Linked DNA regions of Cricetulus griseus. The protein of the gene in region 3 purifies or fractionates together with the protein of the main gene of each other region. This does not show direct contact. Links are inferred from orthologs where the notes say so. Each region holds a gene or a part of one and is shown on either strand. Other genes may lie near its edges. The genes, in order: Plekhj1, Rab1a and Ocrl.

Evidence for each region.
Region 1: the proteins of Ocrl (region 3) and Plekhj1 purify together in Homo sapiens (co-immunoprecipitation; 3 studies listed by BioGRID and IntAct, counting the BioPlex papers as one, with this or other methods). This does not show direct contact. The link is inferred for Cricetulus griseus from reciprocal best matches to the Homo sapiens genes OCRL and PLEKHJ1.
Region 2: the proteins of Ocrl (region 3) and Rab1a purify together in Homo sapiens (co-immunoprecipitation; 3 studies listed by BioGRID and IntAct, with this or other methods). This does not show direct contact. The link is inferred for Cricetulus griseus from reciprocal best matches to the Homo sapiens genes OCRL and RAB1A.

Annotation. Positions count from the first base shown.
Region 1 is NC_048598.1:101,579,069-101,582,818, reverse strand, and holds Plekhj1 (pleckstrin homology domain-containing family J member 1), read left to right. Parts: upstream 1-1,399; 5' UTR 1,400-1,662; coding exon 1,663-1,756; intron 1,757-1,839; coding exon 1,840-1,907; intron 1,908-1,980; coding exon 1,981-2,047; intron 2,048-2,934; coding exon 2,935-3,025; intron 3,026-3,092; coding exon 3,093-3,156; intron 3,157-3,244; coding exon 3,245-3,370; 3' UTR 3,371-3,668; downstream 3,669-3,750.
Region 2 is NW_023276807.1:86,262,860-86,266,609, reverse strand, and holds the end of Rab1a (ras-related protein Rab-1A), read left to right. Parts: intron 1-444; coding exon 445-540; intron 541-2,175; coding exon 2,176-2,307; intron 2,308-2,651; coding exon 2,652-2,849; 3' UTR 2,850-3,469; downstream 3,470-3,750. UniProt on the Homo sapiens protein: The small GTPases Rab are key regulators of intracellular membrane trafficking, from the formation of transport vesicles to their fusion with membranes.
Region 3 is NC_048604.1:21,516,122-21,519,771, reverse strand, and holds part of Ocrl (inositol polyphosphate 5-phosphatase OCRL), read left to right. Parts: intron 1-489; coding exon 490-591; intron 592-1,956; coding exon 1,957-2,071; intron 2,072-3,390; coding exon 3,391-3,507; intron 3,508-3,605; coding exon 3,606-3,650. UniProt on the Homo sapiens protein: Catalyzes the hydrolysis of the 5-position phosphate of phosphatidylinositol 4,5-bisphosphate (PtdIns(4,5)P2) and phosphatidylinositol-3,4,5-bisphosphate (PtdIns(3,4,5)P3), with the greatest catalytic activity towards PtdIns(4,5)P2.

The DNA.
Region 1 (3,750 bases), on a different chromosome or scaffold from region 3:
GGTGAGCATGCGCCTTGGTTCTGGGGTAGGAGCAGAGTCTTGCAAAATCTCACCACTGAGCTACCTTTCCCAGCCTGTGACATTTTCAACCTCGGGAAACACTAGCAATTGTGGTGGGCATGGTGGCAAACACCTTTCACATCAGCTCTTGTCTTGGGAGGCCAAGGTAGGAAGACACCCGAGTTGGAGGCCAGCCTGGGCTGCACAGTAAAATCTTGTCTTAAAAGCATTTGGTGTCCTTCCAGAGGATCCAAGTTCAGTTTCTAGCACTCAAACTGGGCAACTGACAACCACCCGAAACTCAAGCTCCAGTGGATCTGGACTCATTCACATGCACAGACACACATACACACGAAGAAAAGATAGTCCCGGAAAAAGAAACACGGGGAAAGCAATGCGAACACCAGCACTTATCTTTCTGCTTCCTGACTACAGCTGCCTCAAGCTCCTGGGACAAAACTTCCCCACCAAACTGAATTGCACTCCTACTGTCAGCGGTAATAAACCCTTCCAAATTAAACAGCCAGGTGCGGCGGCATATGCTGTTAATCCCAGTCGTCCGGAGGCAGAGGCACCGCGATGTGTGTGAGGTAAGAGTTCCTGGTCGGCCAGAATTGGGCAGGGAGACACTGTCTGAAATAGAAGTTCTGCCAACGCCTGGATGCGCTCACAAGTGAGGCGTGGGGCAGGAGGGAGAACGGATGGATGGAGACGAGCTACCTCACGGACCACCATAAGATCACCGACAAACGAGACAGGGAAACGAAGTGCTGTCTGAGAAGGAGACGGCCTGGGATGGAAATACCGTTATCTTCCAGTCCCAGCAAAGGACCGGCTCGGGTGGGCGGCAGCAGCAGTCGCCAGGGCCCTGACTAACGACGAGGAAAGCTGAGGCAATCAAGGAGCTCAAAAGACCCTCAGGAACCGGGGCACGCTGGGGGCCGCAGACGCGCCACGGAAGCCCGCGATGCCGCCGCGGCCACTGGGCCGCGCGAGCGCCGCCGCGCCGCCCGCCGGCCGGCCCTTCCGTCCAGCCCCGCGCCCTCGCTGCTGCTTCCGACCCCCTTCCGAGACACCAAAGCCGGGGTAGCTTCCACCAACAAGCCGAGTAACACCTCACCGGCGCCAAAGGCCGCGCAGCCCAGGCGTAACGTCCGCGAGGCCCACGATTTCGCTGTGCGCACGCGCAGGCCGGACTAAGCAGTCACTTCCGGGGGAAAATAAGGCGGAGTTTCGGTTGTGCGCATGCCCAGAAGATGGACTCGGTTTAAAGAGGCGCGAGTGAAAGGAGCGCCGGAGTCCGAAGTGCGCACGCGCACTGAGTTATTCACGAACTCTCGCTGAGTATCGCGACAGGACGAAATCGTTATGTCTCAGCAGCCTCGGAACGCGCTTCGCTTGACAGGGGGTGCTACGGATCTAGCTTGATACCTCACGTTTAGTGTGTTTGACAGTTACCTAGGACGGGCGACTTCCTTCCTTTCTGACTCTGCGAGCAACTGCGCCCGCAGACACGCTAGCGCCCCGGCGCGCAGGCGCAGTAGCTCTGCTGGGACTTCCGGGAATGTTCCCTGAGACTTTTGTGGTGCTGAGCGCACCTTCCGAGCGGACGGCGGCCGAGAGGCAGGGCGCCCTCCGGTTCGCGCGGGTCCCCACGGCGTGATGCGGTACAACGAGAAGGAGTTGCAGGCGCTGTCCCGTCAGCCGGCGGAGATGGCGGCCGAGCTGGGCATGCGGGGCCCCAAGAAGGGCAGCGGTGAGCGAGCCGGGGCCGCGGCTGGGCACCTCCCCGGGGGGCGGAGGAGGACAGTTCCCGCTGACACCGCCCCGTGTCCGCAGTGGCCAAGAGGCGGCTGGTGAAGCTGGTCGTCAACTTCCTCTTCTACTTCCGCCCGGACGAGGCCGAGGTAGGGGCGTGGGGGGCTCGGGGGGCCCGCGCGGCCCGGAGCCGGCCGGCGCTCATGGCCGTGTCTCGCGCAGCCCCTCGGAGCCCTGTTGCTGGAGCGCTGCAGAGTGGCCCAGGAAGAGCCCGGCGGCTTCTCCATCAGTAAGTGCGCCGGTCCCCACAGTCCCCACTCCGGACTCTGCTCCGCACACCCCTCCCCACCCCCGCCCCAACCTCCGTTTGTCCTGGATCCCGAGTTTCCGGGGCCCAGCGCTGCATCAGCTGTCAAATTGCCCCCGGGTCTGGTCCCCGCTGGTGCGACCATAGTTTCTTCCCCGCCTTCAGTACCTGTTCACGGCAGGGATATGAGCAGCCTGCGCAGACTTTGTTGGTGTGGCATAAACAGTTCCTCCCGCCGGCAGGGCTTCTGAGGTTTTGAAGTGACATCTGATTCAGCCTTCTTCCTTGGTGATCTTTACAGTACCGTCCTGTAGACATTTGGCCCTCATGTCTTCCTCCATCATCACGGGGTTCTCCATCACTACCCTTAATTTCTGCTTCTTGCACGTGTATATTGAGGCCAGATGTCAATTTCTGATGTCTTCACCTCTCCCTTAAAACAATACATCAATATGTACACATACGTGTATTTGTGTGTGATCGAGCATGCCCCTAAGATCAGAGGACAACTTTGGGTAGTTGGTTCTCACCTTCCACTGTGTGGGTTCCCAGCATTGAACTCTGGTCATCACGCTTGGCAGCAAGCCCTGAGATCCAACTGTCTGTTTCCTCAGCACTGAAATGACAGCCACCTGCTGTGACATAGGAGCTGGGGCTTCTCCCCGGTCCTATTTCACTTTAGGGTCCACCCTGATGGCCCCACATTAACCAACTCCATATGCAATTGCCTGGCTTCCCAGTGGGTTCCCTATTCCTGGGCTCTGGAGGAGCCAAGCCAGCGTTTGAGAGGAAGCTGAGCCTTGAGGCCAGCATGATTAGGCCCCGTGGACACCGACAAGAGTTGGCTCCCTTCCTTTAATCCTTTCTAGGCTTCGTGGAAGACCTCAGCAGGAAATACCACTTTGAATGTTGTAGCCAAGAGCAGTGTCAGGAGTGGATGGAGGCTCTTCGCCGGGCCAGGTAGGGCTTTGGGGACCACTGGGAGCTGGGTTGGGGACTGATTGGTGAGCCGGGTTCTTTCTTCCAGCTATGAGTACATGCGACAAAGCCTCATCTTCTACAGGAATGAGATCAGGAAGATGACAGGCAAGGTGTGTGGGATGGTGGGGAGGTGGCAGGTGGGAGGCGTGTAGGGTGGTGGCAGGTGGGAGGTGCAGCCTTCCCTGGCCTTGTTCACAGGCACCATGTACCCCACAGGACCCCTTGGAGCAGTTTGGCATCTCTGAGGAGGCCAGGTTCCAACTGAATAGCCTGCCTAGAGACGAGCAGACTTGTACTGGCTCCCAGCTAGGTGTGTTGGACTGACCTTCCCTTGGGCCCCTGGCTGTCTTGGGAGGTGTTTTTTAAAAAAACGTCTGATCAAAGCCAGACATCCAGAGGAAGTGGGCAGGGGCTATGGTCCCTGTTCCCATGCCATCTCTCTGCCAATACCCTTGAGTGCCCCCACCCAGGGACTGAGCCTGGCACAGCTCCCACCCGTTACCAGGTGAATGTATAATGCTAGGTAAAGCTGTGAACCCCACTCCTGCTGATAGAGCAGGCCATGGTGCTGGCCTCCAGTGCTGAGCCTGCTCTTTAATAAAGGTACCTCTTTTCCAAGCCACACAGTGAAGTGAGTGGGGAGAAAGGGGGCACAGGTGGCGGAACCACTTTTCTCAGAGGTTAGCAACCAGGCTAGTTGGTGG
Region 2 (3,750 bases), on a different chromosome or scaffold from region 3:
TAGTCTTTTGAGTCTCAGTCTAGTTTTAGCCAGAAAGAAAGGAACAAAGCCAGCGTTGGTTCTGTCAATACCGTGCTCATTGAGGTGAAGTACTTTCACTTGGTGAAGTACACCTCCTTTTCCCACTAGGGCATGGCAGAACAACCTGATTTGGGATGAATGGCTGCAGCCAGGAAGGAGTACGCTGTGGACTCTGGATTCTTATTTTTGCCAACTGCCTAGCATAAAAGAATTTAGAATTTGGTGTCAGTACCACCAGCCAAATTGTAGGCAATGTCTTTGCTTCTGGATTTTAACATATTTGATACTTGCAGTGCAGTTTAATAATGTAAGCATTGAATTAGGATCTGTTGTGTCTGATCCTAATAATCTACAGTTTCCTCTTGTACTTCCCAAGTCTGTTGTAATGAAATTGTTTTGCCTTTCCTGATTCTTTTCTAATAGTGGGACACAGCAGGCCAGGAAAGATTTCGAACAATCACCTCCAGTTACTACAGAGGAGCCCATGGCATCATAGTTGTGTATGATGTGACAGATCAGGTGAGTTCCTAGAGACTATTGTATGTGTGTAGATTTTCGACACACTGTGTAGTTCTGATTGACCTGGAAATTATTATGTAGACAGAATGTCCTTGAATACTTTTGATCTGAAAGTTATTTTTACCATTTGAGAAATTAAAAAAAAAAATAAAAATTAGCACTCATTTTTCTTGTAGCAAATGTTAAATCAACTCTTTGTGACTTATGGGCAATTTGGAAATAACTGAAGACATTTAGGAGCAAAAGATGGGTGAATGTGGGCAGGAAAAGAAAATGCTACATTAACATGATGTCGTGTGCCTGGGTTCTTGCTACTTGGGAGGCTGAGATAGGCTCTCAGAAGACTGAGACCAGTCTAGGCAGCACAACACAGCAGATCACATCTCAAAAAGGCCAACACCCAGAGCAGACAGAACATGTTACTTTTTTAAAATTTTATTTTTATTTTATATACATTGGTGTTTTGCCATGGGTGTTGGGTCCCCTGGAACTGGAATTACAGACAGCTGTGAGCTGCCATGTGGGTGCTGGGAATTGAACCCCGGTCCTCTAGAAGAGCAGTCAGTGCTCTTAACCACTGAGCCATCTCTTCAGCCCAGAACATGTTACTTTTAAACGTCCAGTCTATCACCATTATTTTGTTGTGTTTTGAGACAGAGTTTCTCTGAGTAGTCCTGGCAGTCCTAGAACTCTGTAGAACTCAGAGATCTGCCTGCCTCTGCCCTCTAAGCACTGGGATCAAAAGCATGTGCAATCACTCCCAGTCTACCATAAAATATTTTTGAGAAAAGAAAAAGGAAAAGGTCTCACCAAAAGTTTTTTTTTTTTTTTTTTTTTTTTTTAAACTAGTTTTCTCCTCCCCATCCACTCACTATCTTGTAGTGGCATTTAAGCTCAGAGATTTCTGCATGCCAGGAAGTAGTCAGTCCCTGAACTGTACCCTCGGGCCAAACAGTTATCTTTTTGATAGTAGTAACACTGCTGTTATTCATGACCAGTTTTTGTTGTTAATTTTTGTTTGGTTTATTTTGAGACAGGATCTCCCTTAAGGTAGTCCTGGCTGACGTGCAACTAACTGATTTTGTAGAATGGGCAGGCCTAGAACTCAGAGATCCACCTGCCTCTGCCTCCCTAGTTCTGGGATAAAAGCTGTGTCACTACTCAGTTTAAAAACCAGAATTCTACTAAATTTCAGAAACTAGGTTTTGTTAATATCTAAATTTCAACTTAAAATTGGGTTTGCCTGGGGGCTGGAGAGATGGCTCAGCGGTTAAGAGCACTGACTGTTCTTCCAGAGGTCCTGAGTTCAATTCCCAGCAACCACATGGTGGCTCACAGCCACCTTGAATGAGATCTGCATGCAGGCAGAAGACTGTATACATAATAAATAAAATCTTTAAAGAAAAAATTGGTTTGCCTGTCATTAAATATTAAACTGTTTCCCTTCCCAAATAAGCTATTTTCACTTCAAGCCTGCCAGTCCTCCTTATCATTCATTAGATGAACATTGTCATTGTAATATATTAGTTCATTTCTTTTCTTGCATTATAGTTATAGCTAGAGTTGCCACAAAATGAGCTGTTATCAGTTGATCATTGGTTGCATCCAAAACTGTATCATCATTCTTGTCTTTAGGAGTCCTTCAATAATGTTAAACAGTGGCTGCAAGAGATAGATCGCTATGCCAGTGAAAATGTCAACAAGTTGTTGGTAGGGAACAAATGTGACCTGACCACAAAGAAAGTAGTAGATTACACAACAGCGAAGGTATGTATGAGGTCTGATTTTCTAATTACTTAATTAATTTTGGGACAGGGTTTCTCTGTATAACAGCCCTGGCTGTCCTGGAACTCACTCTGTAGACCAGGCTGTTTTCGAACTCACAGAGATCCTTCTGCCTCTGCCTCCCAAGTGCTGGGATTAAGGGCATGTGCCACCACCACCTGTCGAGGTTTGATTTTCAAGTTGAATTTTAATTATGGGGACGGGAGTCATACAGTGGCTAAACTTTTAAAAGCCAGTGAATTTAGTCCTTCATTCCCATTTCAGAAAGCATTAACAGCAAGTTAGAAAGGTTTTCCAGTGTTGATTGTTCCTTATTACTCTCTCAGGAATTTGCAGATTCCCTTGGAATTCCATTTTTGGAAACCAGTGCTAAGAATGCAACGAATGTAGAACAGTCTTTCATGACGATGGCAGCCGAGATTAAAAAGCGAATGGGCCCTGGAGCAACAGCTGGTGGTGCAGAGAAGTCCAATGTTAAAATCCAGAGCACTCCAGTCAAGCAGTCAGGTGGAGGTTGCTGCTAAAATTTGCCTCCGTCCTTTTCTCACAGCAATGAATTCGCAATCTGAACCCAAGTGAAAAAACAAAATTGCCTGAATTGTACTGTATGTAGCTGCACTACAACAGATTCTTACCGTTTCCACAAGGTCAGAGATTGTAAATGGTCAATACTGACTTTTTTTTTTATTCCCTTGACTCAAAGACAGCTAACTTCATTTTCAGAACTGTTTTAAACCTTTGTGTGCTGGTTTATAAAATAATGTGTGTAATCCTTGTTGCTTTCCTGATACCAGATTGTTTCCCGTGGTTGGTTAGAATATATTTTGTTTTGATGTTTATATTGGCATGTTTAGATGTTGGGTTTAGTCTTCTGAAGATGAAGTTCAGCCATTTTGTATCAAACAGCACAACCAGTGTCTGTCAATTTCCATGCATAAAGTTTAGTGAGACGTTATATGTAAGATCTGATTTGCTAGTTCTTCCTTGTAGAGTTATAAATGGAAAGATTACACTATCTGATTAATAGTTTCTTCATACTCTGCATATAATTTGTGGCTGCAGAATATTGTAATTTGTTGCACACTATGTAACAAAACTGAAGATATGTTTAATAAATATTGTACTTATTGGAAGTAATATCAAACTGTATGGTGATAAGTATTGTTTTAATTCTTATGGTTAAAGGGAAATAGGGATTTGCATTATACTCAACAGCCAATTTGTGTGTGCAACAAGGGCACTGTAGACCTATCTAATAATAGCACAGCATCCAGTATTTGCTTTCTAGTAATAGACCTGCTAAGTGACCTAGAGAAGCTTCTGTGCTGTGTAGACTGAACCAAATTCATTGGTTCAAGGAGCTCAGAGTGTATGGAAAACAAGTTTAGAATGTGTGCTTTCTAGTGCTTCATCTCCAGCTCTAAA
Region 3 (3,650 bases):
AAGACAGTCACATGAGTCATCCCTTCTGCCTTCCCGCTTAGTGTACTATCTGCCTCATCAAAATTTCCCAAACAGTTGTCCTCATGATCCTCAGGAAGTGGGTTTTTTGTCAGTTTAGTTATAGCTCCTTACAGAACAGTTGTCCATATTAGACTGTGCACAGCACAAAGATATCTCTTTCCCTTCGTAACCTAAAGCTCTCCCTTAATGAATTTGGATGGTGTTTAATTGAGTGGAAATTTGGCAAAACAGTTAAGTGTGTTTGTTTGAAATACAGACCTAGTTCCTTTTTGTTGATTCACTTGATGTAAAATACAATAAACCCATGCCTTTGTATTCTACGAGCAAATTTTTTTTCTTATGTATCTGGAAAAACACTTTAAAGAGTTATATTAATCAAGATACCCTTTCATAGAAGTGTTAAGAGCAGTATTGTTTGTTCACACTTTATCTTTGTTTTCAAATTAATTTTTTGTTGTGCTGTATTAGATTTTTTGTTGGAACATGGAATGTGAATGGCCAGTCTCCAGATAGCAGCTTAGAACCTTGGCTGAACTGTGATCCAAATCCTCCTGATATTTACTGCATTGGGTAAAGACCACTTCAGGACCTTCCTTTTCCTAGATTTGGTATTAATGTAACATGACTTTGGCCTCTCTCTCTCATGTTTGTGTGTTTATGTATGTAAATGTGTTAGCCTGTACATGTGAGCACCAGGTCATTGGGCATCTTCCACGATCACTCTCCATCTTATTTTCTTTCCTTTTTTCTTTCCCTATTTCATTCATGTATATAATGAATTTTAGTTGTTTCCACCCCTATTACCTGCTCTCTCTCCTGCTGAAACCTTTCTTCCTAACAAGTCTCCCTTCTACATTCACACCTGCTTTATATACATAACCCATTGCGTTTATTTGGAGTTTCTTGTGTGAGCGTGGATGGGAGGTTATTTACTGGCACATGAGCAACTTCTCTGTGGGTTTACCACTAAACAGTGTCAGCCTTTCTACCAGCAACCATTAACTGCTCATTGCCCATCAGAAAAGGGTAGAACCTCATGGACCCCTCCCCTATCCATAATGAAATGTTGATGGGCCCAATCTTGTACAGGTCTTATGCAGATAACCACAGCTGTAGTGAGTTCAAGGGGAGCAAGGACTCTGTCATCCAGAAGATGTCTTTTGCAGTACATGTCCCCATGTTCTGGCTCTTACATTCTTTCCATATCCTCTTTCACATGTTCCCTGAGCCTTGGAATATGTGATGTAGCTGTCCCATAGTGGCAGAGCACTCCACCATCACTAATTCTCAGCACTCTGACCAGTTAGGAGTTCCTACATTAACTGCCACCCACTTCTATGATAAAGCCTTATCGGCCTTATTTTGCTTGACACAGGGTCTCTCCACTGAGCCAGGAGTTTGCCTACAGATCCTCCTGTCTTGCTGGAATTGCATTCATGTCCTACACAGCCAGCTTTTTTATTTAACTTGAATGCTGAGGATTGACCTCATATCCTCACACTTGTACAGCAAGCACTTTACTGATGGATCCATTTCCCCATCCTTCATCTTCCTATTTTAAAAACTTGTTTGGTAAAAACTTGATGCGGACTATATGTGAGGGTTAATTTGTGGGTCAAAAGAAAAAAATTAATGAAACACAAAGGAAACTGCTCATCCTAGGAACACATGACATCAATTCTCATAGTGATTATTAAAAGGTTATAGATGTTTCACTATTGTCCCTAAGAGAGTTTTGATTGTTATCATTTAGTTTTGCATAACCTATGAATATAATAGTGGGGGTTCTTTAGAAAAACTACTTGTCTTTTATAAAACTTATCTTGCCATTTTTTCCTTTACCTAATGTCTCAGCAAATGGGAAAGGAGGTAGCAGGTAGCAGCCCACAAAAACTTGTGGGGTGTGTATAGCTCCTGCATCCATTTTTCCCTCAGATTCCAAGAGCTGGATTTGAGCACAGAAGCCTTTTTCTACTTTGAGTCTGTAAAAGAGCAAGAATGGTCCATGGCTGTGGAAAGGGGTCTGCCTTCAAAGGCCAAGTATAAAAAAGTAAGCTGCACTGGATTCTCTTTTTCAGTGTATAACTAAGTAGACCTCACTGGGAGTTATTCCATTTTCTGAGCCTCTTCCAAAAGATTTGTTAAATAACTGAATTCTTCCCCATATGAAATACTGTGCTATAGGAGACTAATCTACCATAGTTACTTCTGGGTGGGGGGAAGCATAAACTTTCTGTTCATAATTTTTTATCACTTAGGTAGTTTTTAGAAGAAAACCATTTATTGTTTTTGTATAAATAATTACATATAAGCTAACTGATCTGTCTGTGAAAGTTTAAGATTGTTTGCCAACGTGGCCAGAATTAAATGCCTACAAGAAAAGCAGAATGAAGCCTGTGGGTGCATAAAGTATCCATTACATTCAGAACAAGAATAACAAATTCTAGACTTCTTTGTAGGTGAAGAATAAAGTTGAGGAGCTGGAGAGATGTCTCAACAGTTAATAGCACTGACTGCTCTTCCAGAGGTTCAATTCACAGCATCCACATGGCAGTTCATGACTGTCTCTAACTCCAAGATCTTACACTCTCACACAGACATACATGCAGGCAAAGCACAAATACACATAAAATCAAAATAAATAGTTTTTAAAAGGTGTGTGCCATAACACCCAGCTATTGTTTAAAAAAGGAAAAGAAAAATAGTCTTTAGAAGCTATCTGATAGATGCATTTAGCTATTAGGAGAGTTATTTTCATTTTAAGATGACTATTCTAATCTCAGAAGGAGTAATAGAATGTTCTTCTATGCTTCTGAACAGTGTATGTAGGTGGCATAAATCGTGAAGTTGTTATGGCTCTCTAGCTCAAGTTTAGATTTAAAAAAAACTCAAAATTCAAAGGATCACTGTTTGTAGATTTAAATATCTTAGACAATGAGAAATCAGAGTCTAGGAAGGAAAAGGAAGAAGAACAAGCTTGGATAATGGTTTGTTCTTTACTATTTGAACTTTTAATGTATATCAGTAGGCTACAGAGTGATGTAAAAAGAGAGGTAAGACAGAATATGAGTTAGTGGTAGAGTACCTGCATAGCATGCTCAAGGTCTTTTATTTGATCCTCAGCACTGACAAATAGAAACAGAGAGAGAGGAACAAACTTATGCATTGTCCTTGGAGCTTCTGACTTTTATTCATCAAATTTAAACTAGAGCTTCCATAGAGAACCTTGGTTTCCAGTTTATGGGGTCCAATAGGAAATTAAAGGATGCAGATCAGATTTGGACATCTTTGTTGGTCATTCTGGGAAGGTAGCTATGTTGCAGAGAGTGATGCTCATATTAGCTGTTTGTAACTCCCTGGAACTCATAGGTTCAACTAGTCCGCCTTGTGGGGATGATGCTTCTTATATTTGCCAGAAAAGATCAGTGTCGCTATATCCGTGATATTGCTACAGAAACAGTTGGAACTGGAATTATGGGGAAAATGGTGAGTTACTTTGACAATTAAATTGATTACTTTTTATATCTATGTGAAATTCAATTTCACCTTGCATTCCCTAACTTTATAATTACTTTTGCTACCAGGGAAACAAAGGTGGTGTTGCTGTGAGATTTGTATTTCATAACACC